Coturnix japonica: one gene and its partners. The protein of the gene in region 3 interacts with the protein of the main gene of each other region in a pairwise test. Links are inferred from orthologs where the notes say so. Each region holds a gene or a part of one and is shown on either strand. Other genes may lie near its edges. The genes, in order: ARL6IP1, CTPS2, SPG21, ATPAF2, TFG and AKIRIN2.

What was found.
Region 1: the proteins of SPG21 (region 3) and ARL6IP1 interact in binary tests that used the Homo sapiens proteins (3 or more experiments, as listed by UniProt). The two-hybrid records come from large-scale screens. The link is inferred for Coturnix japonica from reciprocal best matches to the Homo sapiens genes SPG21 and ARL6IP1.
Region 2: the proteins of SPG21 (region 3) and CTPS2 interact in binary tests that used the Homo sapiens proteins (3 or more experiments, as listed by UniProt). The two-hybrid records come from large-scale screens. The link is inferred for Coturnix japonica from reciprocal best matches to the Homo sapiens genes SPG21 and CTPS2.
Region 4: the proteins of SPG21 (region 3) and ATPAF2 interact in binary tests that used the Homo sapiens proteins (3 or more experiments, as listed by UniProt). The two-hybrid records come from large-scale screens. The link is inferred for Coturnix japonica from reciprocal best matches to the Homo sapiens genes SPG21 and ATPAF2.
Region 5: the proteins of SPG21 (region 3) and TFG interact in binary tests that used the Homo sapiens proteins (3 or more experiments, as listed by UniProt). The two-hybrid records come from large-scale screens. The link is inferred for Coturnix japonica from reciprocal best matches to the Homo sapiens genes SPG21 and TFG.
Region 6: the proteins of SPG21 (region 3) and AKIRIN2 interact in binary tests that used the Homo sapiens proteins (3 or more experiments, as listed by UniProt). The two-hybrid records come from large-scale screens. The link is inferred for Coturnix japonica from reciprocal best matches to the Homo sapiens genes SPG21 and AKIRIN2.

Annotation. Positions count from the first base shown.
Region 1 is NC_029529.1:8,039,267-8,043,350, forward strand, and holds the end of ARL6IP1 (ADP-ribosylation factor-like protein 6-interacting protein 1), read right to left. Parts: intron 3,263-4,084; coding exon 3,143-3,262; intron 2,556-3,142; coding exon 2,438-2,555; intron 2,079-2,437; coding exon 1,994-2,078; intron 1,767-1,993; coding exon 1,648-1,766; 3' UTR 797-1,647; downstream 1-796. UniProt on the Homo sapiens protein: Positively regulates SLC1A1/EAAC1-mediated glutamate transport by increasing its affinity for glutamate in a PKC activity-dependent manner.
Region 2 is NC_029516.1:109,439,690-109,444,927, reverse strand, and holds the start of CTPS2 (CTP synthase 2), read right to left. Parts: upstream 3,321-5,238; 5' UTR 3,230-3,320; intron 1,036-3,229; 5' UTR 996-1,035; coding exon 830-995; intron 1-829. Other genes in the region: SYAP1 (synapse-associated protein 1), read left to right, coding at 3,443-3,626. UniProt on the Homo sapiens protein: Catalyzes the ATP-dependent amination of UTP to CTP with either L-glutamine or ammonia as the source of nitrogen. Constitutes the rate-limiting enzyme in the synthesis of cytosine nucleotides.
Region 3 is NC_029525.1:16,064,852-16,070,100, forward strand, and holds the start of SPG21 (maspardin), read right to left. Parts: upstream 3,543-5,249; 5' UTR 3,409-3,542; intron 3,188-3,408; exon of another isoform or gene 3,122-3,187; intron 2,584-3,121; 5' UTR 2,557-2,583; coding exon 2,494-2,556; intron 1-2,493. Other genes in the region: CLPX (ATP-dependent Clp protease ATP-binding subunit clpX-like, mitochondrial), read left to right, coding at 3,735-3,804. UniProt on the Homo sapiens protein: May play a role as a negative regulatory factor in CD4-dependent T-cell activation.
Region 4 is NC_029529.1:5,008,897-5,012,811, forward strand, and holds the end of ATPAF2 (ATP synthase mitochondrial F1 complex assembly factor 2), read right to left. Parts: intron 2,992-3,915; coding exon 2,911-2,991; intron 2,809-2,910; coding exon 2,696-2,808; intron 2,352-2,695; coding exon 2,236-2,351; intron 1,611-2,235; coding exon 1,473-1,610; 3' UTR 993-1,472; downstream 1-992. UniProt on the Homo sapiens protein: Plays a role in the assembly of the F1 component of the mitochondrial ATP synthase (ATPase).
Region 5 is NC_029516.1:76,135,228-76,139,621, reverse strand, and holds the end of TFG (protein TFG), read right to left. Parts: intron 4,024-4,394; coding exon 3,934-4,023; intron 1,881-3,933; coding exon 1,510-1,880; 3' UTR 1,114-1,509; downstream 1-1,113. UniProt on the Homo sapiens protein: Plays a role in the normal dynamic function of the endoplasmic reticulum (ER) and its associated microtubules. Required for secretory cargo traffic from the endoplasmic reticulum to the Golgi apparatus.
Region 6 is NC_029518.1:69,571,761-69,576,261, reverse strand, and holds part of AKIRIN2 (akirin-2), read right to left. Parts: intron 3,157-4,501; coding exon 3,013-3,156; intron 2,530-3,012; coding exon 2,380-2,529; intron 1-2,379. UniProt on the Homo sapiens protein: Molecular adapter that acts as a bridge between a variety of multiprotein complexes, and which is involved in embryonic development, immunity, myogenesis and brain development.

The DNA of each region.
Region 1 (4,084 bases), on a different chromosome or scaffold from region 3:
GTAATCAGCAACATGCCAACCCCAATAAGCAAAACCCCAACGCTGGGGGTTGGAACTACACGATCCTTGAGGTCCCTTCCAACCTGGGTCATTCTGTGATTCCGTGCCACCTTTCCTTGGCGAATAGTTTAGATCTTATAAATTCAGCATTGGCCCCATCCAAAAAGCATGTCACACATAGTATTAAACGTGCTACAAAGCTTCCCTGCCTTCAAGAATAACAGTAGTAATAATACGAGCTGGCCCGGCCCGTCCCTCAGCCCCCTCCCTCCATCCGTGTCTCTGTGCTGCCAGGCGGGCTGCTCCCCCCCACCCGCCCCTTCGGAGGCTCTATAGAGCGCTAGAGACGACGCCGAGCGCTCAAAGTGGGTCGGACCGCTCGGACGCGGTCTCGGGCCCCCGGTGATGGGAGAGGAGGCGGCGGAGGAGCGAGGATGGGGCGGGGGAGCGGCGGATGGCGGCCGGGCCGAGTCGGCGGCGCTACTCACCGGTGCGGCAAGATGGCGGAAAAGGAAGAGGCCGGGCGCCCGCGGGGGATTATGGGAAGGCCATGAGCGCGGAGCGGCGAGCGCGCCGCACGGGGAGATCTCGCGAGACTCCGCATCCTATACGGAAGGCAACGCGCGCCGAGCTCCGCCATCCCCATTGGTGAGAACAGAGTGACGCACTTCCGGCGCGACGCTTCCACGCGCGTTCCCATAGCAACGAGGACGCTTCCCGGGGCCAACGGGAACCGCGAGAATCAACCGACGGCGGAACCGCGACCCGGCACCAGCCACACACAGCACAACCAGAATGACAATAGTGTCTGATCATCTATATTTTCCTATTGGACTGTTACAATAACACCGAGACTCCATCTTCAAACAATACAATTGTAAAATGCGTGAACACAGGTTGGAGCTTTACAAAGAAACAAAGTTATTTTGTAAAAATAAGGAGGGAGATAGAAGAGCACAGCACGAATCCAGCACTATGGATAAGCACAGCCCAGCACAACAGCCATAAAGCAAAGGGCTCCGTGACAGAGCAATGAGCTGTGGGTGGGGGTCACACATAAACCCACCCCACAGCCTCAGTGCAACACTTTGTCCTACAGCTACAACAACTAGAAGCTGATGGACCCAGAGCCCAGCACGGCAGGTACAGCCACAGAAACAAAGGGATTCAGGGACACAACAGGACCAACCTCCTGCACCAGCTCTGATTCAGCTCAGCCACCAGCGCTCAGTCAGTTCATGGGCTCCTTTCCACAGGACTCAGTAGTAACAAGGCTTTGAGAAGTGCAAGCATTCAGAACGCCTTCATCATACCTGCTGTAACCACAAACCACTAACAGGTACAGAACCACCGTGATCAGCTGCAGTAAGTTCTTACCATAGGGTACTTATGAGGCCTCTTAAATTGGTGAAGAAATTTAAGCTCCACACGTCAAAGATCTTTTGCATTAAATCAAACACAGAACCTCAATCTGCACAGCAAGAGACAAACCCATAGCAAGTGCTCGAGGGGCATTTTCCATTCGTTGGAGCCATTAAAAAAAAGTTAAGCCAGTGAGCGATACAACTTCTATTATCTTAATTATACATAAATTCACAAAACTGTTCCCAAGAAAACCTTTTACAAGAGCAAACAGCAGTTCAGTCTTCACTCATTTTTCTTCTCCTTGTGCTTGAGCAGTTTGTTTATTTCCCTTTTTGCCATTCCAACGTACTTTGTAATGATCCCATGCTGGTTCAGCCCAGGAAACAGCAACAAGAAACTCACTGGAGAAATAAACACAAAAATCAATTCTTTATTAACTCTTCAACAATCTTTGTCACCTTGCAGTTCTTTGCCTCCCTTAAGCTCCACCAACCGTCTGAACACACAACTAAATGTCCCATGTTAAACAAAACATCCCCACACAAATAATCCCATCTCACTCCCACCAGCCTCGTACCATTTTAGGCAGCTGACAAAGCTGGATCTGTTTGGCATGCTACACACTTACCAATAAGATACGTCAGAAAGAGGTTGTGAACTTGCTGTCCAATCCAGGCAACCACAGCAAGAGAACAAAGCATGGTCATGAAGTACTGAGAAAAGAAAAGGGAACAGTTACCACTGATCTGAAGGAAACTCTCATCCTTCCCTTCAGTATGCAATGACATTTCAAAGTCCAAAACTAGACTGCAGCCCACTGGCCCCTCCACATGCAATATCAATGCACAGGCTTGTTAGAATTTACACTGCAGAGATTACACCTGTACGTTCTCAACTATTTATGCAGCATTCAATTTATTACAGTTCAGCAGCTCATCTCCATTGAAATAGCCCTCACAGTATGCTACCCCCATGTCCATACAACCTGTGCTTCATGCAGCGCCTGAAGCTTTGATTGGACAAAGCAAAGGGACATTTTACAATGATACAAAGAACCCCTGGACCTCAATACCATTTTAGGCTTCTCTTCCTTCAGTGAGAAAAGACGTTTCCACCATCCAACAATTCGGCGACGAGATTTGACCAAATTGCTGCAAATCTCATGAAATCTTTGCTGCTGTTCTGTAGTCCTTTTAATAAAGAGAAGACAGGAATAACAATTAATGTTCTCATCTGAAACTATACTATATATGTATATATACTATATATACACACATCTGAAACTATACTATATATGTATATATACTATATATACACACACTATTTTCCAGCAGGAAAAATGTACCTATCTTGACATTTGCCTCACTCAGTTTTGTACATTCTTTTTACTGAGCACTATAATACAACCACCTATGTAACTTTTAAGTAAGCTGAGTCTCTCCAATGGACTCTAAAACTGCAACTCCTATTTAAGCCAGAGAAGCACTGACTTTCACCTTTATCTGCTGAGTGCAATTAATTGGGTTCTTCTGCTGGCACGCTCCTACTCCTTCAAAATAAAACCTGACTTTGCTAGAAGAGAAGGAACAATAAAGATTATGCTGTAGTAGTTTTATTTCAGAAAAATAATTCAGAAGTGTCCTCACTTCATAAACTACAGAGACTGACAATGACAGTGACTATGCAAGAATCATTTAACACTTGCAATTCAGACATTCGCTTGGATAGAAACCAATTCCTTTACACTCAGGCTATTTTAATTCAAGGCTTTCCTCACCATTTGTTAGAGCCAAAGATTCTGGGAGCAAGAGCAGGAACGAGATAATCAGCCAAACAGATGAACATAACAAAGCAGGAGACGCCTGACAGAACGGATGGATCCAAGTAGTAGATCATCCTGTAAAAACAACACGGAGATGGTTTCTGGATGCTCAGACTGCTAAATACTTGCAGTACTTAGTCACGTATCCAGTTGGTACAGGACTTCAAACAGAACCACCCTCTTTGCCTAACTTCTTTTGGCTTCAAATTTGCTCCTCTTGCCTATAAAAATAATTTTAATTGATTTAATTTAATTTAATATTCAAGCTTAAATACTTCAATATTATTACAAGGAAATGAGACGATATCAAAATACAACTTTCTAAACATACTAGAAAATACTATAATACAACAAGCATATCATAAAGTTCATTACTGCTCATCCAGAAGTTGAGGTCTAGTGAATGTAGCACTGAGCATGGGAAGACTGAGGGAACATGTAAAAGAACTAAGAAGGGTGAGAGCTCATCCTGTTGGTTCTGCAGTAAATCACAGCACCCCCAGGCTGCCCCCATTTACCGCCTCACCTGTGACATCCAACCAAACCTGTTCCACACAAGGAGTCATAACCCTCCAAGTAGGACAGTGCTGTGAACTTCTACATTACATTTACAGCTGTATGGTTACTGGACAAGAACCTGCTTATCTCATAGGTCTGCTAACATTCACTGAGACCTACATTACCTTTTTGCATTTAACAGAACTTCTTGAATACTGAAGAATAAAAGTGAAGAGATGACACTCCACCACAGAGCCAGTCCTTCTACACAACTGGCACAGTGCTACTGCACTGAACATTCAAGTTTATTCAACACAAGACATTTCCTGCTGCAATCAGAGAAAATCTGCACCAGAATATACCAATGTAGATATAATTACTTCTCTCAAATTACTTTTC
Region 2 (5,238 bases), on a different chromosome or scaffold from region 3:
ATCGATACAAGCCACCCAAACTAAAAGCATCTATTTTTAAGTAATAAGACTAGCCAGCTTTCTAAGCTCCACGGAGGGTTTTTACCTGACCTTCATCAACTAAAACAAAAGCTTAATCTAACTCTCATGATGACATGCTAGAGACGCTGATACCCAGGTAGCAGCATTCACAGCTGATTGTCCAGCAGTACAGCTTCAAATATGTTCTCATAGAATCATAGAATTACCCAGGTTGGAAAAGACCTTGAAGATCAAGTCCAACTGTAGCCTAACCATAGTACCCTATCTCTAACAATCCTCCACTAAATCATATCCCTGAGCACCACATCCAAACAGCTCTTAAACACAACTAGGGATGGTGACTCAACCACCTCCCTGGGGAGCCTATTCCGGTACTTAACTACCCTTTCTGTAAAGAAGTTCTTCCTAATATCCAGCCTAAACTTTCCCTGATGCAACTTGAAGCCATTTCCCCTCATCCTGTCACTTGACACTAGTGAGAAGCTGTACTACTCCAATTTTTTTCATGTTGAACAGAAGACAGCATACACTGAACAAGGCCCACAGCCAGGATTTTCTCAACAAAGCAGAATTTCATAGAAAGTAAGTCTATACACACAGACCTATCTTCCAATAGGCTCCTCTCTTTACTTAGAGCAGACAACACCCTTGAAAACACACAGAAGGGAATAAGTTTGCATTGTCAAATAGATGATAAAATGACTAATAACTACTGTACTACTGTTTTTTGTGTGTTTGCTTGTTTTAAAAACACGTGATTAAATATGTAAATATTTACTACAAAATGGAACAGCGCTGTTCTTCATACCATGTTCATATGGTGAAAACGTTCCAGCATCTATGTTTATGTAAGGATCAATTTTGATTGCAGTGACACGCAGACCACATGACTTCAGTATGGTGCCAATGCTGCTTGCAATGATCCCTTTGCCAATACCCGAGATGACTCCACCAGTTACAAGGATGTACTTCATTGGAAAATCAGATCAAGCACACAGATTTTGCGCTGGAAATCTAAAATGACAAAGATACATTTGATTAATGCAAATTCATCCTGGGGAATAACAGTCTCGCTATGCAAAGAATCAACACTGAAATGACTTTCAGGAACAGACAACAAAATCACCACTTTAGAATCCCTCCCACGTTGTACGTTACTATTTAAGCTTGATGTCTAAATCCTCTCCACAATCAATGAGAAAACTGAGATACTAATTAGATGCACTGCCCTGTGAAGACACCAAAACAGGTATAACTCAACTGACTTCTCTAACATGACAGGAACAGCCAACCACCTTTTAGAACCACAAGTTAGGCAAGACTAATCTCACCCTAGATTCTTCCTGAATTAAAGAAATCAATTGCTTCATTTATGTTTTGAGAAGTTAGCTCTAACACTGTTCCTTGCTACATTAGCCAGAACAATCACATCCTCTCCTTGGCAGATCTACCTTCAAAACCTTCAGCCTATAGCTACCAGTATCTAATAAAACCAGCATTCTGTATCATCCACTACATTATTCTCCTCTCTAGTTCACAACATACAAAGTATTTCACCAAAGGTCCTACAACATCCTATACATCAATGGAATATAACAGCAAGAAAAACTGAACCAAAACATCCACATTTGCATGACAGCATATTAACCGTGAGCCTATTAGTCTTTCTTCACATACCCACTCACTCCCCAACTAATTACAGAGGGAAAAAAAAAACAAAACCCAAGCCTCTCTGGACCATGAGGTAGAAAAGTTGATGCTGTACTAGCAAAAAACAAAGCTAAGCCAGTTTTAAATTGCAGATGTAAAGAAACATTCAAAGTGACGACACACAAAGTCAGAACTGCAACCTTGGATAGCACAGAGCTGTGTCATGTGGCCTCCAATATGGCCAACTTCCCCATGTCACAGCATTGCCACAAAGCAAAAGGCTTGGGGTCAAGAATAACCTTTCCTTACCTACACGTGCAAACTGTTCAAAACAGCATGTAATAGCGTGTGATCTGAAAGAGTTCATGATAAGATGAGTCAGCACAGTGTTCTTTAAACACTGGTAGGATGCAGTAGCAAGAGAATAACTGCTCCTCTGATGTTATTAATTAACATAAATAGGGCCTAGAGCTCCAGCTGTCAGAGGTCAAGAAGGCAACAATGCTTGTTATCAATGCTTTTACAGTGGATAGCAGGAAATTAACAGAGTATTATTTCTCTGCCAGTATGAACAAAGAGGATGCAGCAACCAAAGCATTTAATCCAGGAGAAAAGAACCCTTAGAATTTACAGAGTGAGAGGTCACCATGCAGCAAACACTAACAGAAGTTAAAGAAAACAAGGAGGAAATTTCCTTCCATTCCCCTTCACAACCCGTAAAGATGCTAATAACAGAACTGCAGAGTAGCATAAAGCAAGAAACAAGAAACTGATGAATGAAGAAATGAAATGCATATATCTTCAACACGTGCCATTTCAAGACTCACAGACCCCACCACTCTCCTGACATGAACCCAACCAAGAGCTGCTACTTTCAGAAGCACAGCTTTCCCTATCTCCCTACAGCTCTGGAAACCCACTATTTACTCACAACATAACACATGCCAGGTGGGTTGGGAAACCACACGAGCTGCTGGAAATAGTAGCCAGCTCTTTTTCTCTCCCTAAATACCGAAGCCACCAAGTTCCCTCTTCTCCAGGGCTCCACAAGCTGCCACACGCCCTGCAGACAGCTTGAACTTTCGTGCTTACAGAAACCACCGCTACTCCTAAGTACCACGGTACTACCCACAAGAGATGATGAAAAAAAGGTAATGAAAACCAAAGGGAGGGCAGTGGCAGCAAGCACCTGCCGGGGGCTGGAAAGCAGCTCGAGTAGAGCAGAAAACGGCTCAGTGTTACCCCCACGAGCTCATGGAGCAGCAACAGGCAGCGCACGGCCCTCACAGAATCACAGAATTGTAGGGGTTGGAAGGGACCTCTAGAGATCATCGAGTCCAACCCCCCTGCCAAAGCAGGCTCCCTACACCACATCCCTATACACACTGCCTGTCCTACAGTGGGACAGGCAGGGCCCGGCGGTGCTCCCGCTCCCATAGGGCGGCCATAGTGGCCGAGGCGACTGGCGGGGCCACTTTCACCCCCGTACCATAACCCGCTTCGCACAGTCTCGAGGGAAGAAAGGGCCCCTCCTCCGGAGCAGGCAGCGGGGCGTTACCTTCCACGCGGGAAGGGGAGCAGGCAGGCGGACACGGACCCACGCGAGCACCGCACGCTGCCCACCCCACAGCCCCGCCCTCAGGCAGAACCCCGCCCCTGCAGCCGGACGTGGCGTATGCGGAAGGAGCGAGGGGTCTGTTAGTCCGTGTGGAGAGTGGGGCCGGTCGTTGGAGCGCCCGTTAAACGCTGCCTGCGCGGCCGCCCCCGCGCCATGTTGCGCGGTCTGGGCAGCTGGTTGGGGCTGGAGCGGGCGGGAGAGGAGAAGTTGCTGGTGGCCGAGGAGGGGAGCAGCCCCGCGGAGGAGCTGGATGCGGAGCCGGCAGCGCAGAGCCAGGAGCGGGCGGAGCCGCAGGAGGATACGGATGCGCTACTCAACCAGGCCAAGGGATTCGGCAGTGAGTGTCCTGTTGTGTTCTGTCCTGCCCCGTCCTGCCTGGGACGTGCTCCAGGAGCTCAGCGATGTGTCTGCTTAGAAATAGTAGTGATGTAGCCTTAAAGACAGCGAATCTCCCGTGTTATAGTGAGAATAAGGCAGACTAACTACCCGTGGTATAGTGAGAGTAAGGCAGACTAGCAACAGGAGTGAAGGCAGATCAGTTCAGTGCATGGTTACTGGTAAATCCCCTGGTGCTACTCATTGGCACTGAGCTTTAACTGAACTGAACAACTGCATGTAGGTTTTAGGTTAAATGGTTATTCTCATCCCCACGCGCTTAAAGAGCTGCCTTCTCTGTAGGTAATTATAACCCCAGTGTAGCTTATGTTTACTTTGCATCACTAAGCAAGGTGGCCACAATACTTGAAAAAACAAGTGAATAGCAAAACAAGCCCCCAAGCAGATGTAATATTCCTAGATGTAAATGATACTTTGGGTCAGGTTAACTAAGATAGGAAACTATCTCAGTTACTTTCCTAAGTCACACTTGTTGATGACTGTATAACAGCCGTTGTGTAACGTTTGTTGTGTATTTGAGATAGTAACCAAGCAAATGGCTTCAGGTGTTCCTTTAGGTTATCATGTCTCACTAAGTGAACAGCGTTTCTTTACATATTGGCGCTATGAGTAAAGCAATGCATACATACAAATCACATGCTTTTTAAAGTGGTGTGGGCGTTTCTTTAATTCCTTATAGGTATGCAGTGTCTGTTTGATTATTATATTGAAGTCATTTGTAGAGAGGTAGGGCTGTAGGTAGGAATTGTGCATTACTAGTGTAGATTCTTAGGTAAAATTAATACAAAGTGTAGCTCTGTACTAAAGGTGTTCCCTGAAATTCTGGCTCGGTGTCTTCTGAGACGTCAGTCTGAGGTGTTTCTTTAATATACGTATTTTGAGCTTTCTGAAATGCAGCAAATTGACTGTAGTGATTGGTCAGGTGTCTGTTTGTTCTTGTAAGTAGGTCCTAATCTACTCTGGTTGTCCAGAAGGGTACTTGGAATTTTCAGGAGGAAGAATATAGGATGTTAGTGACAAAAACATTTATCCTGTAATTTGCTATGGTAGTAAGAATTTGGTATGGTGAGGTGTGGATCCATTGCCTGTGACATCAAAGGAGGTCAGGATGAAAAGGATCATAGAATGGTTTGGGTTGGAAGAGACCTTTAAGAAAACATAGTTCCTACCCCCTGCTATGGGCAGGGACATCTCCCTCTAAACCAGGTTGCTCAAAGCCCCATCCAGCCTGGCCTTGAATGCTTCCAGGGAAGGGGGATTAGAAAGGTTCCAGGCATTGGAATGCACTGCCCAGGGAGGTGGTGGAGTCACTGACCATGGGAGTGTTCAAGAAACGTTTGGATGTTGTGTTGAGGAATATGATTTAGCTGGGAAGTATTGGTAATGGTTGGACTAGATGATCTTCTAGGTCTTTTCCAACCTTGATGATTCTGTGATACACAAAAGAGCCAATAAAAGCTTGTGGGGAGGGGAGAGTATAGTAGGCTGTTGTTTTCTCTGTTGTTCTAAGGGGTGGTGCTGTATTCCTCTATGCAAAACATAGAAAATAGACT
Region 3 (5,249 bases):
CCAGGGTCTGATTTTTAACTAACTCCTATTTACTGGACAAAAGATGTTACAGGTCTGGATGTGTGTGAGTCTATTGAATTATGCTGCTAACTGCAAATTATTGATTTAAAGCAGTTACACCTGATTGCTAGGGATGTACTCAACTCCCAGAGCAGCACTGCACAGCTGACCTGGAAAGAAATAAGCACATGTCAGGAGAGCCTGGAGTCCCTACGACACAGCTGGATGAAGCAGATTATCCACCACAAGCTGCTCACAGAGGGCACGTAACATGCCAGAAGCAAGAAGTCACAGCAGAAATAGTATATTCAGAAGTATAGGAATTAGGTAACGATTGTCTGCTCCAGCCTTGCTGAAGCCTGGCTCGCTTTTACAGGGCCTGACCTACCAACAAGCTGTTGTGTGTATTTAGCATGCTGGTTTCAACCCTCATCACCCCAGCAAAAAGCATGCAGCTCATTCCAGATCAACAGTCACAAATCTAAGGAAAGCTGCATCGCACAGCAGGAGTTCATCCACGTGTCAAGATTCTGTAATTTTTTGAATAGCAGCATAGAAGCATAATTCACTTTCCCATCACAGCAATTAAGCTGCTCAGGGAGTTAGAGAACAGTGTATCATTTTTGCTTGATTAACAAATCTGCTTGTAATAAAGCCGGTATTTCAAGCTCTGGGAACATGTGAGGAATCACATGATACTGCTGTTTTGTGAGATCTCCAAGAGAAACAAAGAAAGACAGATTACATAGCAGGGCTTCCCAGACCACTGAAGCCACTAAGAAAACACATACACACAAAAACCCCCCCAGCACCCTGCACAAAAGCCCTCCTAAAGCCTCCCAAAAATCAACCCTTCACATCATCTCCAGAAATTACAGCTCTCAGCTGTTATTCTACAGTAACTTTGGAGACATTCAAGGTAGCTGTCAATGGCTACAGCAGAATCTTAAGGAGTACTTCCAGATGAGGAGCAACACCTGACTTATGAAGGGAACTGAGGCTCAGAGGTAAAGTTTCTTTCCTCAAACTCAATGAATCAGGGGGTTTGAACTGTTCTATTTGATTTCCAGCCACATCCCAGATACTACTACAGCTCAAACCCAATGCTAAGTGCTGTGGGATGGTTAACTGCTGGCTTGGGAGGGCATTAGCTTTTTTCAGGTCCACTGCTGAAGAGCATTTACAGTCAAAAGTCAAAACAGTTAATAGTTACAGTCAAAAGGGCAAAATCTGTACATCACTGAAACAAGAGGCAGAACTTCCCTTGGCTTTAGCAGAACCAGAGTGTCCTCTGCTGATGGTTTTAAAGAAGGACTGATCTAAAACAGCAAGTGGTGTATATTGAGGAGGAGATCCCTATACAGTGGTACAGCGTCTGGTCTGAATCAGCCTTAATTTGTACTCCCTTCTTCCTTCATTTTAGGCCCTAAGAAGCTGCAGTACCCACACCAACAGTACAGCAGCCATGACAAGGACCAGAGTGGCTGCAGTTCCCAGTGGAGAACCAGAATGTTTATCTGAGCTGAAATATCACATCAGGGCCACTCACATTGTGGCACTTGTTGACTTTAGGGGCCACAAATCCAAATGCAGGTTCAGAGGAAGAGCTTAAGACTTTGCCTAAAAATATTATGTTCTGCACTGTACTTCCTGTTTCTGACAAGGGCAGGAAAGGCAACGGAGCTGTGTATTTCCTGCTGCTTTTGAGAGGAGCATCTTAACATGTTTTCAAACAGTGCTGGCTCTGCTTCTTTAGGGTAACAGGCACTGATCAGGAGTAACAGTGATTGGCCATTCCTTCCTCCACAGTGCACAAGTTTTGCTTAAGCCTTTGGGAAGATAATGTAATCATAAGTACGTCCCACACCCGCCAGAAACAAGGACTATTTTACTTCTATCTTCTTCATACCCCATATTCATCGCTGTAGCATCACTTTACTTTGGAGATGGCTGGATCACTCAAGGGGGAAAGGCATTCCCTAGTCTGAAGGTCACCAGAAACCCTGTTAACAACAGCTTTGGCTTACACACGTGTTCTTATTTCTGAAATCCTGATCAGTCAGCAGTAGCTGAAGGCAGAACCATGTCATGAGGTTGATGTCTTAGAGAAAGCCAGGCACACTTAAGCATTGTTCCTTAGGTTTGGGGACACAGTTCCTTTACAGTGGCCCAAATGGAACCAACTTGTTGAAAGAAGTAGTGCTGTTCTTCCCTCTTCTGCCAGCACCATCCTGCAGCCCAAAGAGCTGCCCACATTAAAGAACAAAACCAGCTGGAAGGCAGCAACTGCGAGCATGCTGCTTGCCCAGAAGCATGTGAAAAGTAAAAGTAAGAGTGTGCTTTCATGCACTCCTAAGACATGTAGGGAAACAGTTTGTCTGGATGAACACAGCCACAACTGTTCTGCATTATCCAGAGCCAAACTGCTTGAATTCCTGTGCCATAGAGTACAAGGAGAGATGTAGCATGCAAGCTGAGGACTGCGGTACATACCTTTTTAAGAGGAACTGTGCTTCTGAACCAGTTGTAGTCAGGAGAGACTTTAATCTCTCCCATGATGGTTAGGAAAAAACTCGGGTCAGACTGAAACAAAGAAAAACAATGTTTGAAATCAAGAACACGGGGTTTCCCTTACGCAGCAGGCAAGAGCTGTGCCATGCACACAAAGCACCTGCAGGGAGCTGCTCACAGCAGCACTGCATCTGACCTGCACCATTTCCTCATCTTTTCATCACAAACCACACAACTGTGCTCCCACGAGGCAGTCACCCAACTGCCTTCATGCACTGCTCCAATTAGGAAATGACGATGCTCTTGTAACGGCACAGTCCCGGTAACAGACAACTGTTGCAGGCTAGAAGGGCCTTATAGAGCTAACAGCACTTTGTCAGAGTCTGGCAGCACATCAAACTGCAGTGAAGGTAAGAACAGCTTTTCCAGCAGCCTGCAGAGCTGCACAGACACAAAGACAACAACTTCCAATGAACTAAAGCACTCACTGCAAACAGCCCCTACACTCGCACTGCCATCACCTCCCCTCCTTCAGCCTTAAGCTGATCTGTGTGCTGTCAGCGGGCAGGATAAAGGAGCACGCAGGACACAGGTGAGCTCTGCCCTTTACCTTGGCCAGCACCCAAGTGATCCAGAGTCCAGCACCGGGGTTTCCAAGGACCTGTCACTGCTTATGGAAGGGAACCACAGGCCCAGTGCTGCTCAGTGTGTGCCCTGCCTGCAGGCCCCGCGTCCACTCCGCAACGAGGCCTGTTCCCCACCACGAGACCCCCGCCCACAGGGCCACCCTCACAACACCCACCCCTCGGCCTCAGCCCCGGCCGCCCCCAGCCCACCGGAGCCTCATAGACCCCGCAGCCCCGCTCAGTAACACTCAATAGCGGCGCCCCCACACACCTGGGCGCAGCGCTGGCGGCTCGGCCCTGCCCGGTCAGCGGGGCGCGGTGCCGCCTGCGCCGCTCTCCTCCACCACCAGCCGCTACTTCCGGGTACTACCCCGCGCCGACCACGTGACAGCAGGACGGGCCGCCATCGCTACCGAGGCGGAAGTAGAGACCCCCCCCCCGCGCGGTGCCTGCTGGGAGCGGTAGTCCGATGTGGGGGGAGTGGGGGAGGTGTGCGCGGTGACGTCACTAGGCGGCGCCGTGTGGGGGAGGGGCTGTTTTCACTCCGCCGCCGCCCAAGGCCTCGTCAGGGGGAGCGGGCCGGGCCGCGGCCGCGCCATGTCCGCCTGCCACAGCTGCGCCGCGGCCGCGCGTCTCTTGGGCTCCACGCTGCCCTCTGCGAGGAGAGGTAACGACCCCAAATATCCCAAATACCCCAAATACCCCAAACACCCCGATCCCTCGCTCCCCTCAGCCCCCCCCCCGCCGTGGCTCCTTCGTGTTGCCCCGCCGGGCCGGGCCCTGTCAGCTCCGCAGGTGCTCGGTGCTGAGGGAGCCCTGAGCCCCGCACGGTGTTTCCATCTTGGGCCGCAGTTTGAGGCTGTGGGGCTGTGCTTGGCGTCATTCCGTGCTTGGTTGGCACAGAGCGCGTCCAGCTCACGAGCAGCGCGAGGCCCCTTGGCAGCTCTCCGAGGGACTTCAGCCTTCCTTTGCTCCTGTTGCTGTGTGTCCTGTGCGCTTTGTCAGCTCACAATGCATTGCTGTGGGCAGCCCTCCCTGCTTTTCAATGGGTTTTGGGGCTCATAGGGCAGAGGGGCCGTTCGTGGTTCCCCGGGGCTGAGCTCAGCGCTGCACCCCCCTTTGTGTGGGCCATCAGCCCTCTGAAGGCTGAACGTGGCCTTCCGACCCACCCAGAACCAGGGCAACAAGGATTCTGAAAGCTGTATTTAACTCACAACTGCTGCTTTTCTCTGTGCCTTTCTAAGGAACAAACACAACTTGGGGTTTTTTTTTCCCCCTCAGATCTAAGAATTCTGATGGATTTCTTGTGTACAAGAACAAATAAGAGCAGAATATGTTTGTGGGGTAATATTGCACATCAGCTTACTTGGAACTTATCAAAGTCTTCGCTTGGCACACGGTGGTGGTTGGGGCAGATCACTTTGTGGGGCATCACTGCTGGGTGTGGTGGAGGTTGGTATTAACTCGAGGTTGTTGGGCAGCTCTGGTGGCCTCGTCTCCTGTCAGTCTCCCTGTGACACCTTTGAGTTAAAGACTCTTACAGGATACTTGAGGTTTGGCCCTAAAAGTTGGCGTTTTGTTCCTCACCTCTCAATTAACGCTTAATAAGTTGCAAAGGAGCCTTCTGTTATGTCACAGCCTGCTAAACTTAGGCAGGTTATGGAGAGGTGCTATTGCAGCTGCCACAGCCCTTATGTTTGATACGTGTTCTGATAAGTACAAAGAGTGCCCAAACCTGACTGCTGCTGTGCTGCTACATGTTTGCACCCTTATATTGCCTCCATCCTCCAGCAGGAGATGCCAACACTGGGCTGGAATTGCTATTGAAAAGTTGCCTCTGGGTTTACTTATGCAGGACAGTTGTGTTAACTTTCTTCTTCAGTCTTTATTTTTACATTGAAGTTCTTTCCATAAGAGATAATAGAGCTAAAAGTCACTCAGAGCTCTGGTTTGGCTGAACATGACAAGTTTTGTCCCAGGGCCTGAAGCTGACGTGTGGTGTGGTCAGTTTAATGTTGTACCCTACCAGCTTTTATAAGAGGGAGAAGTGATGAGCAGCACAGACACTGCTGCGGGGTGGACGGCTGCCTGGATGCATTGCCTGCAGCCCAG
Region 4 (3,915 bases), on a different chromosome or scaffold from region 3:
AAAGGCACACTCCTTCCATTCTGCCACAGTCAGCAAATAAAAGATACTTATTGTTTCTGTTAAAAGCACATGAAGCTTTGTCTCTTCCACCACATTGGCACAAAGCCCGTTCCGAGCTCAGACCTGGTCACAAGGGGTTATGGCTCAGCTGTGAGCTAATTGAACCAAATCATCATAGCACATCATGCCTGAAAGCTTTAGTACCTGCAAGCACAGTGGCAGGAACCTGTGAGCCACAGGCACACAGCAGCAGCTGGGGAGAGGAGCACTCTCCATCAAACCACTCCCAGAATAACAGCAGGTTTCCAGCCCAGCAAGCACAAGGCTGTGGCTGGGGCTCTGTGTGCCTAGCAGCCTTGTCTTGTCGCTGCCTCTTGCAAAAGCAGCTTTCTGCAGCGTGAGCAGAGCAGCCCCCAGCTAGCAGGAAGGGAAATCAATGGTTCCACAGGAACTCACACACTGCCGCTCGCAACAGCCAAGCGAGGAGTCATTAATTCCCCTCCTTGCTCAGTGACAGCAGCTGCTGCACTCACTTGTGGGCAGCTTCTGAGGAATGATGCTGGCCAGGGCGGTACTGCTAGAGGCAAGCAGCAAGGAGAAAGGTGGGAAGGTTAAATGAAAGGGTGGCTGCATATGCACTCTGGGGAGAGACCTGGTCTCGTGAAAGCCCTTCAGCTGGTGCTGCCTGATGTACAGATTTAGCTCCAAGTGCCTTATGCTTTTGGAAATGGCTGTGGGAGGTTTCCCCCTCCCTGCTTGTTCCAACACTGCACAGTCAGCTCCCTGCTGCTCCTTGGCTGCTGGGACAGGACACCTCGTACAGAGAGACTCACACAGACACACAGAGAGAGCTAATCTATCTGCCTTCTAGTGTCTGCTCAGCTCTGCTCCACGACTTTCTGCCTTCAGCCATTCCCACACCTGCGTAGAGCCGAGCAGCTCAGGATCTACACCATGGTTTGACAATTAAAACAAAGAAATACTCAGCAGCATTAGCTTTCAGTATCTTGAAGAGGCGTGCCTTTAATCAAACAGAGAGACCCTGGTGTTACATACAGGCACACTGAGGGATGAAGAACAGATGCAACGGAGTCTGTTTTCAGATTTCCATAACAAGTGTGTGTCAGGAGCTGGCAGCTATGAAGACATGTGGCATATGCTAGGTGTGTCTGTGCCGTGCCCTGCCCAGGAAGCTGTTTCTTTCAAGGGAGCTCCTCTGATGAATTACAGACACTGGTAATGGACAGCGCTGCTTCCTTGAATATGCAGAGGGAGCTCACCTTGACCTTTCCTCCTCGTGGGCTCAAAACTGCTGGCGCTGCACTGCAGCAAGGAGCTGCCCACAAAGCTGCAGTTCCTCAGCACAAGCCTGATCCCAGACAAGCTGTGGTGGCAGGATGGTTGTTACCCTCTCCAGGTCACGGCAGCAATTCACAGCAGGGCATCTTCCTCCTCCACCCAGTCCTGCAGCCTTAGTCCTGCAACAGCTTGTGTTTGACAGTTGAGCTCTCTGAGCAGAGATGAACAAAGAGAGTCCCAGCTGCTGCACGAGCACGCAGCTCACACAGATCATAGTCATGGGCCCACTCCACATTGCCCCACCGCTGAATCTGGAGGAGGAACACAAGTCAGTTCAGAAGTGGATTACACTCAGAGCTGCTAGGCAACTCAGCCTCCTTTCTCATGTCTGTGAAACACAGGCAGCCCTCCAGGAGCTGTGCTGACTGCACACTACTAGGGTAGGGAGATCTCTGGATGAATACGGTGGAAGGACATGATTCCTCTGTACTGAGCTCTGAGGCAAAAACCCCTTAAAGGGAGGATGAAAATACTCTCATCAGTTTCAGCCATTTTAGGTCAGGGAGAGCTTCACACCAGGCCAGATTTCAGCTTTTGCTCTCAGAGGAAACAATTTAATAATAGTTTGGTGTCCAGCAAGGCCTCCAGCCTGGAAAACCCACAGCAAGAGAAGCCATCCATGGCTTTGCACTTCAGATTAGAGAGGGAGAAAAGCAGCCACCTGGGTTCTGCAAAACAAAACTGGCAGCCCCAAGAGCACCCTGGGCTGTTGCATCTATCATGTTGCTCTACAGCAGCGTGCTCCGGACTGGTGGAGTGGAACCTCTCCTGTAATAGCAGGCACTTCCCCTGCCAGTTATTTGTGGTGGGGGGTGCATTTGTCATGCTGAGATTATTGCTATTTGAATTATGGGGTTGCTCTGTAACATAATTTACCTGGTATTCTTCCTCCAGCCGAGACAGAAGCACGGCTTTCTCTACTGTAATGTGCCTGTCAATCAGGCCCATGGACAGAATCAGAGATTTCAGCTGGGTGATTACATATTCTATACCTGGAAGGGAAAAATCCAAAACAAACAATATTCATGGTCGTTTTCCACAGCATTACAGCAGCATCCTCCCATGCTTGGAAAGGACAATCAGGCTGTGGTCCCCCCTCAGGCAGATCACAGTGATGCCTCCCCACTCCCATCTGGGCTCCTAACAGCCAGACATGCAATTAACGGCACAATAGTGCTCTCCTGACCACCATCACTGCAATGACCTCAATGCTCTGATCATCTCAGCATATCAGCAGGGGGGGAAAAACGTTACAGTCTCTCCCCTCTCCCATGGAGAGGAGCTCTCCTGCCCTTGTGCAGCCCACACAGAGGGCTCCTGCAGCCCAGCCTCTCACCTTGCAGAGCCCACATGTTGTAGGAGGCCAGGTGGCTGATGAAGGTGTCCCTGGTGCTGGCTGGGATGTTTGGTCCCATGATGCTGGTAGAGGATCCGATTGCCACGTTGTACCTGACATGATCACATGGCCCCTTAGAAAAGCTTGTGGATCTTGCAGCTCTGAGTCACGAGCACTACAGCTATGGGCCTTTAGAAACAGCTTTAAACTCTCACCTTTTCTCAGCCCAGGCAACAATAGGATCCCATTCTTTCTTCTGCAGCTCTGCCAAGGCAACTGGCTCCTCCACACGATAGCTGGGACATTGCACAACAAAGCCATGTGGGTGTTCACACACAAGCTGTCAGACTGCTCCCAGCCAGACTGCAGCACTCCTGAGAAGAAAGTCTGTGCCCTCCGTAGACCACAGTATGGGGAGCATAGACCTCTTGTTCACCCTACCTGCAACAGCTGGGACTGGGAATAATCTCTCCATTCAAAGCTTTTTATTGTTCTAGAAAGGACAGTTCTATGCAGCTATATAACAGGGCTACAATCTACAACAGAAGACTGCAGATTACCTGAAACCAGCCAAGGGATGCAGCAAGATTTAGTGATCCATGGGACAAATCCCACAGGGCCCTTCCTGCTGCCTTGCACGCCCAGTGGCTCAGCTTAGCACTCACCAGCCACCGCCCTGCCCAGCCCAACACAAACAAAGCCACAAAAAGTGAGGTGAATCTGGTTTCCCTCTCCCTTCAGGAGCAAAGCAGCTGCCAGTGGACACCTCAGAGGCTGAGATTGTGAGACGTGAGCTTGGGTAGGCTGGATCCTGCAACCCACAGGAGCTTTAAGGAGCAAAGGGCATTTTACTACTAGTACAGGTAATCTAAGCTTACTACACCTTTATGCTACTGGAGTGCCAGGGGACTGAGCTGACATTCTCCCAAGCCTTTCTTTGCTTTTCCCACTACATTTCTTGCTGCTCCTGCTCCCTGTCCAACATGGACATCTCCAAACAGATTTCAACAAAGAAACAGGTCCCTGTTCTTTGTATCTATGCCCTTTAAATGCATGGAGTTCCACTAGGTTGGTGGACATAGGACTCGTCTAAACTAATTCAAACCCCTGGGCCAAAGCCAGGACAGAGCAGAGCCCTGCAATGACTTGGTTAGAACAGACATTTTCCCTCAGTTCTCTCAACCACTCTACAACAAGACAACCCCACCTCTGTGCCAGTG
Region 5 (4,394 bases), on a different chromosome or scaffold from region 3:
GACATTCCACAGCTTCCTGCTTGATGTATGGGTGCCTGATTAGGAGAGCAGTGACACTTAGGGATGTGGAAAGTAGGGATTTTTTCAGCTCCTGCTTTAATTCCTGCTCTATGCTGATGAGAGTTCAAGCAGCGTGCTGCTCCGTTTCATGACTTAATTCCCTCCTCTCAGTTTTATGTATTCCTAGAATCCATAAGACGGAAAATATTAACTGAAAGAGCATGTATTGCCCTTTGCTGTTTATATGGTTTATTGAATGCTTTTACAGATCTCAATCTGCTTTTTCTTGGCTCAGCATTGAGTCACTGGGATCACGCTCCCAGATTTTTCAGGGTGGCAAAGGACCTGTGTTATGTTGCTCCTCCTTAACAGTTCTTTATTAAAATACAGATTTGGCTTCATCTTTTAAGTAATGAACCCATTCTCCCCCTCCCCTTGTTCAAGCGTTTAATTCAAAGATGCTACATATTAGCTATAGCTATATTTAGGAGAAGTAACCTGACAATTAACAACAGCAGACAGTGCAAAACCACCTGTTGCTGTTTGGTGGCTCCAAGAGCTTTACACTGAGTTTGAAAGGGTAGGGAGAGATAACAAGGAGTGGGGAAGCACAGCCGAGTTAGAGGGATGAGGTGCTAGTGGGGGCCCTAACCCTTCTGCACACTTGAAACCTTATGAGCAGCCTTTCATTATCTAAAAGAGGGGCTTGTAAGAAAGGAGACATTCTTTATCATAGTCTGCTGTAATAGAACAAGAGGAAATGGTTTCAAATTAAAGGAAGGAAGATTTGGAATGGATATAAGGAAGACTTTTTTTTTTTAACAATAAGGATAGTGAGGCTCTGGCATAGGTTGCCTAGAGCTGCAGTGGACGTCCTGTCCCTGGAGATTTCAAAACAAAGCTGAACAGGGTTCCGCACAACCTGACCCAGCTGTAGGTATCCCTGTTCATTGCATGGGAGTTGGACCAGATGACCTTGAAATGTCCCTTCCAACTCAAATGAGGTTGTGATTCTATGTCTTGGGAACAGTTCTCCATTTAAACACATAGCTTTTTGCTTATGTAGTTTTCTTGTTCCATACTACCTACACTTTAAATTAAAGACCAGGCACATAATGGATTCAGGGCTTTTTTATTAGCTTTCCATGTGAGCATTACAATTTATAATACATCATATCTAGTTTTTACTTCCAAATTAATCTAATTTAGTAAATCATGTATGTTATTAGTGGGCTAAACTTCCAGCTAGCATTTTAATATCCTTCAAACGAGGCAAGCTAGGATGTCAATCGATCACTTGACAGACACATAGGTAGTGATCCCAAACCACCCCAGCCCCAAATTAAACTAGGAAGCGGATACAATTCAAAGCATGAACAGCTCAGTCGCTCCTTCCCTCCCCCCACAGAACTAATGAACACTTACGGTGACTCTTCTGCCTCGGGACAGCTCCGGATCTTGGTAGGGATGGCTGTCAGGCTGCAGCAGCCAGCACCGGGCACTCAACCCTTACCGGTATCCAGGCCCGGGCTGCGCGTAGCCCTGGGGCCCAAAAGGTGGCCGAGTGCGGGCATACGGGTTGGGCCCACTGGGTGGTGGCGTCATGGTGCTGCCGGGTGGTGGGGTGAAGCCAGGCCGTGGCTGGAATGTGCCGGGTGCTGCCTGGGCACCGGGTGGGCCGCTGTAGGGGGCTGGCTGCGAGGCCTGCGTGGTGTAGGGCTGCGGGGGGAAGCTGCCCGCCGGGTACTGCTGTGGCTGCTGCGCTGGCAGCTGCTGGGCCTGGCCCTGCCCTGGGAAAGCGGCTGCTGGGGCCGGTTGCTGGCTGTAGGCTGGGAACTGCTGCGCCGGCTGCGAGGCGGCCTGCTGTGGGCTGTAGCCGGCTGTGGGAGAAGAGATGTGGGGTAAGGCATGGCATGGCACCAAGTCGCACACAGAGTGACAGCGGTGACAGCAGAAGTAGAGCGGTAAGCACAGACAAGCAAACATAAGGAACTGCGAGTTTTCCTGCTGTCACATGTAAGCACGCAGCCTGGTATTCCCACAGCCAAGAAGAAATTTAAGACAGACAAACAGCATTTTACCATCACAACACATTAAAAGTAAGAAAAAAAAAATCTTCCTCCACAAACAAGGCAAAAAAGTAGCCTTTTCCCCCCAAAAAAATCAAGATCAAACTGTCATGGAAACACTGTTAGTGCTCAGTACTCTTAAGTCATTGTGCGAGTTAAATCGTAGATATTTTCAGTTCTTTAAAAGCAGAGTTAAGTAAGTTCAACAGAAATTGTGCAGAGCAGCATACTTGAGTACAAAACTCCCATTGAAACACGCCCCAACTTGGTGGTTCTACATAAAACCAGCTTCCAAAAGGATTTTTTCTTGTTGAATACTTTAAAATAGCGTTAATTCCCTTTATGAAGAAATAAATAGCTACTTTTATCCAGCACGAAACACACCTGCAGCTACTTGCAATGAAACCTCTCCATTGACTGGAATCCTGTCAGCATTAAACACCAGACACACAAGTTATTAAAAGTGCACAGCCCTGAATAGAGAGTAAGGATCGAAGAATGCACTGAAGTATATTTTGAACTCACCTTAAAACTGGGATCAAAATTTATGAGACAAACCTTAGTAGGCTGCATGTTCACTACCATGAGGAAATCTTCTTGTCTAGCAGAGCTACTGGGCAGAGTGGGGATGGATCACACTCTGGGGGATAGGGGTTCTGGAGGTAATCCTCGTGGGCACAACAGCAACAAGCAGATGAATAACTACTTCCAAGTAAAGCTCTTCAATGGCAGCTGTCAAAAGGCCCTCACAGTGAGACTGCTTGTGACAGATCTGATTACTCAGGAAATGGGTTTGGGGAAACACAAGGAGCTCCAGATCATTTCTGGTGATAACAGTGTCTTCTTGGAGACATTCTAAGAATTGGGGATGCAGAACTCATGTTGCGCTACAGATACTGCAGGAACTTCCGCAGTAAAAAAAACAGTTTAAGGCCATGGTGGAAAATGATTAGTACATAGATGGAAACTCCTTTTTTTCCTGCATTAGTTCCTTAAATCTACACAGAAAGACAGACAGACCGTTCTACTTCTTTAAGCCTAACTTCAGCAGAAGGAACTGGACTGGTGGCAGTCTGTCACAGATATCTACCTATACAGAGCACAGGAACAAGGGATAAGGCACAAACCCTCTATGTTCCAAGTGTTCTGCAATTCTTACCCAAGCCACACAACTATTCTCATCTATATCAAATCTGATGCACTTCCACTGTATACATTGTGGGGGGAAAGAAAGCAGTGGTACAGGCTGTTTTCTGAGGCACTTACCAGTATGGACGTCTTTGTTTGTTTTAAACGATCTAAACTGCAACATGACAAATGCTTTCTATCTTCCTCTAAAAACAATAAGCAATTGGAGATATACATCCATCCTTGTACTGTAACATAGCCTGCTTCTGCTGAAGTAAATAACTGGAAATTCTGAACTCGAGTTTATTTTGGAGACACACAAAACCCAGAGTTTCGTATTTGCAGACACACCACTAATGCACTAACATGGTCTCCTGTGAAAAGCAGTAGCTCCTTTAGTTGAAGCACCAGTAACTTTGCTAGAATGCCGTGATGCAGACCTCAACCCTGAAGACTGCTCATGCTTTATTTTACCTACTGTTTTTTTTTTTACCAGTGCATTCTTCTGACAGATGGGTAGAAACGAGATACCAGAAGTCCAACTTTAGTAGCAACAAACACTGAAAGCATCTGCTAACTGGTCATTTTTGAATTGTGCCCATTTCCCTCAGAAGCGCAGGTGTTTGAGATGCTCAGCACCCTGAGCTGCCCCACGCATTCAGGATCCACAGCTCAGAGGGCTGGGCACCAATGGAGACATCCCCTAGCTACACCACAGTTTGCAGGAGCCGCTTACCTGGGTACTGCACGCCATACTGCTGCTGGGGCTGTGCCTGTGGCTGCTGGGCAGGGTAACCTGGCTGCTGGTACTGCTGGTACATCTGGCCTGGGGACAGAGAAATCAGTTGGCTGGGAGACAATACCTGACCTATATCAAAAAGATCAGACGCACAACATCCTAGTGGTTTGAGTTGCAGAAATAACACGTACAAGTTACAAGATTTTAGTCTCTGAACCATGCCATTCTGAAGACAGATCACACAGTCCTAATCTGACGGAGGGCCCACTATTCCAGTGGATGCCAAGAGCCATATACCTTACCTAGCACTACACTGGTGTGTAACAGAGCAGAAATCTTTACATGGCTTGCTAACTTCTCCAGAACTTACTGTAAATCAAAGTACTTCAGAAGTTAAATATGTCCTCAGATCGTCTGTTTATAATAGCTTTTAAGACTATTTCTGTACAAAGTACTGT
Region 6 (4,501 bases), on a different chromosome or scaffold from region 3:
TTCCAAAAAAAACCAGCAACTAGAACTTTTCCCGAAAGAATGTACTAAAGGCCAGAAAGAAACCTTCCAGCTTTCTTCTTTTAAGGTTTATGTCAACATACACAGCCACTTTGTAGCACCGTCTCTGTTAAAAATCTGGTTTTGGTAATTTTAAGAATCCACACTTAGTGAAAAACCCCTTCTTGTGGCATTCAGCATAAGAAAGTTAAGGAATCCAAAGGTAAAATCATCTACCGTGAACTGATGAGAACCTGTAAAGATACCTGGACCACTGGAATCTCCTACGGCAGGTTTTAGCTATTTCAAGTCAAAAGATGGCTAAGTGCCATGAATACAAGCACCGTTAAAATGAATTCATAACTTGAATTGCAGTAATAGAGCTGTTTTTCACAAGCAGGTTCTAGAACTGCTCTCAAGCTGAAGTTTCACTGAGCCCCTTGCAGTCTTCCCTTCTGGGTTTCAAATCTGCAAAGGCTAAGTTTATGCTGACATCGTGGTTTCAAATAACAACAGGAGGGGAAATCCGGGGCATTACAGCAACCTCAGTTTTCCATTGATCACTCCATCACTCACTCTACGTGAAAGGCAATGCTGCTCACAAAGAACATGGCAGAGGAAAACAAAAAAGGCAGTATCTGGCTAACTACCTCCAAGAAAAGCATGATTCAGGAAAGGAATGAAGAAAATAGATCCAAGTTCCAAACATTCCGTTCAGTCACTTGAAAGAAGCTAATCAATATTTGTTACACAATTTCCAGTTGCATTTCCATTCATTTCACTGGTCTGTAAAAATGAGTCATCACCTCACTGTACAAAGCAAAGAAAGGGATATAGTTGCTCTGCCAGCAGAAAGATGCAAGTGGTCTTCTGTGAAAAGAATTATGCCCAATTCTAACAGTCTATTTCTAAACTCCTGTGTAATACTAAGAATTCACTACTGGCAAAATATATGGGATGCAATAACCAGTTCTTTTAGAGATCACCCTACAGGGAAATAAACCTTATCTCATCTCACTGTACGCTGCCCTCAGGCCCTAGGAGAAGGTACTGTTCCCCTTCCCTGAGGTTCCCTTTCAGAGTGACACAAGAGCACACGGTGCCAGAGGTTCCTGCTGTAAAGAACTGCAAGTTGGACTCAAAGACTGAGACAAATCAATGAGCATATCTGGTCTTCAATTGGTTGTTATCATCACCGCTAACTGAAAAGCGTTTAAGAATGTAAGAAAGGACTCCATTCCTAACATACATAAATTAGAAGGAAAAAAAAAGACTCTTGTTTCAATTAATCAGTCTGAATCGAGTTAAGAAAGAAGAATCTACAAACAAAACATTAGGTCCAAAGAAAACTAAGTATGCAGGGCTGGTTATGTATTAAGAAAACACACACTTCATGGTAGCAGACCAGAAAGCACAGAACGTGAAACAGACTCAGGTGCAGAGACAACGCTGTCACGTGCAACCCAGCAGTCTGACAGGCTTGGTGACCTCCTGCATGGGCAATGCCCACAGGAGCTGGCTCCTGAATCCAGAGATCTGCTAACTTTAATTTGATGCGTTTTCAGGTGGGACACAATGGCAACAGGTATTCAAAAACTAAGCTCACTGCCAAAGCGTGTCCTGAAATGCTCATTATAATCATACTAAGCATTAAACACATCATATTGTGAAGGCATCTACCTCTGAACACACCAAAATTAGATCCTCAGACCTTAGCAAAACACTCAGAAGTAGAGGACACTGACAACTGAAGGAAAGTCCTTTTCACATTGCTGGCATTAACACGATCCTTATCAAAGGTAAGCTGACATGAGGCGCCAAAAACACCAGCTGACTGGTAGGAAATGCAAGGATTCAACACAGAGGAACAGAAACGCAGCTAAATTACTGACAATGAAGCAGCTACCCAACACCGCTGGCAGCAGAGTAATGTAATTACTGGGAAGTGAAAGGGAAGTCTTAGGTACTGTGTCTTCTTGCCAAATTCCAGAAAAAGGAAGTCAGTTTCCAAGCAGGGAAAAAGATCCTTCACAAAGAGCTCTTAAAGAAGTAAAATAGAAAGTCTTTCTGGCAAAAAAAAAATAAATAAAATGAAGAGGAAATGATCAATTCCAACACAGCAGCGAGAGAAAGTTCTATGTGAAATAAAACCTCTGTTTCCATTGATTAGTAATACCCAGGAGTCACAGTTTCTATCCAAGACAGCGCAGAACAGAAAATCCTATCAAAGAGTCTACAGTTTTATCAGCACTGTATGCAATCTCATTCTTAATCAGACCAGCTCAGAAAGAAACTAAACAGCATAATACAAAAAAAGAGAAGTAAAACAAAATAAAAGCTTTTGAATTCATGCTAGCACATTATTTTGAACCATTAATATACCTGCAAGTTTTGTGGTCAAAATTTCTTCATACTCTTCACGGATTTTCTCTTCACGTTCTTTCAGCAAACGTTCACAGATCATTCCAACTTGTCTGAGAGTAAACAGGGGCTGTTCTTTTTTCAATGGTGATGATGCTGCAGATGAAGTACCTAAGACAAAAATACTGGGGTATAACCCATGTCCCACTTACAAGGAGTTCAAAACCCATATTATAATCAGTTCTCCTCACACTTTTTACATTAAAGGAATTTTACATATTATTTGGAGACTAGTTCCTGGGCCATTGAATACTTCAAATTAAAGTGAATCTTAACTGTAAAAGGATACGTATGAAAAAGCCAGGAGCATCACACAGTGAGGCACAAATGGCAGTTGCCACTGACAAGCTTCTATTCTACATTAAAACTACAATGTATTTTTGCAAAGACAGCTGCTTTGTATCAGCCTATTGCAGGATCAGTGGCAGGGAAAGAAGAAAACCTGGTAAGCTTCCAGATTAATGCTATTATTGCTTCCCCCCAAAAGAAACCATAAATGATGAGAAAGTGCAATAATACAGGAAGCAAAAAAGGCAAATTATTTCCTCAGAATCTGAGAACACAGACCAAAATTACACAGAACGCTCCGGCTACCTGGCAAAGCTGGTCCAGTAAGAAATAACGCATGTGGCTGTGCATCAGTAGAACAACAAGGATCTGTCTGCTGGAAGTTATTTTCTAAGTGTCTCCTCTTCTGCATGCGTTTGTACTCCTGTTTTATGTTGTACAGAATTTGTTCTAGGAGAAAAACAGTCAAAGAATTAAACCTCAAGTAATTACATTTCAGCATTTCACTTTATTTCTACTAGAACATCTAATGTAGATGACCAGGAGATGCTAAAAACTAAACTCTTAAGCCTCCAAGAACGGTGCCATTTTACCCAGGACACAAAGCAAATAATGAAACTAACAGAGAAGTGTTAAGTCCAGAGCATTTTCACAAGAGAACACATGAGCAGAATAGATTATTTATTAAGGTCAAGTGCCAGTGCTGGGGTAAAGCTAACAAGAACAAACAGTCTGATTTGGAAATGTAGGAACCAAAAACTGGATGATACACACAGATGAAAATTAAGTCTCCGTGATGTGCCGCTCCTCCTTATTCAGTATCTGACAGACAAGCAACAAAGTAGGGAAGGAAACAATTCTGACCAAATATTCATAAAGCAGCTACTGCTTAAACCCTCCAAGAACTGGAATCCAACAGACAAAAACAAAGGCCTTCGCAACACTTCATGGCCCCAGATGTATCCAAGTAAACCCCGTGGATGGATCAATAACCTCTTTTAAGAGAGTACAGCAATATGTAAGTCAGCATTTGACCTGCACTGGGTAAATACAGCAGGTGCTTCTAATAATCTCATCTCATTATCAACCCTGTGGTGCCTCCTCTCTGAAATATGTGGCAAAAAGCTCTCAGGACCATCAGAGCCCCCCAATGGACACCCCTTGGGAAATAATGCCTTCCCCCCTACTCCTCCAGGAGACCTTCAAACAAAGAGAGCTCCAAAGCCTCCCTTCATACCACAATTCTTGTAAATGCTCAGACCTATTTATAAAACAAACAAAACCGCATTTCCCTAAACAGTCTGCTTCCCCCAGACTAAGCTTCTAGACTTAAGGCAGAGATGGCCTTTCAAGGCTCACATACACATTCATCACTGTGATTGTGTCAGGGTTGCAAAAAGCTCCAACTCAGTTCCTTCCTGTTTCCATTCAATGCAACACCATGAAACCTTCTTCCACCAGTTTTCAGTGCTTGTGAACCCAATGTTCCTGAGGTCCTACATTTGAACATTTCCTAACACGCACCCGTATGAAGCAAGTTAACTTCAGCAATAAGCTGTTTCAGTAAGTGGCCGAAGCCCATGCCAGATCAAGCAGAAGCAAACATTTGTCAATTTCTAGTTCAGAGGTTCAGTGGCGGCTGCTCTCTAATAGCACAAGCCAATCTAGAGGATTCTCATTGATGGGCAAGGAAATCAATTCCAGCCAACAGAAGTATCAGCACCTTCTCCAAGGAGCTTGTTTGGATGTTGCTCCTGGACAAAGAGCACCCTGTAATTTCTACCTTTTCAATCCT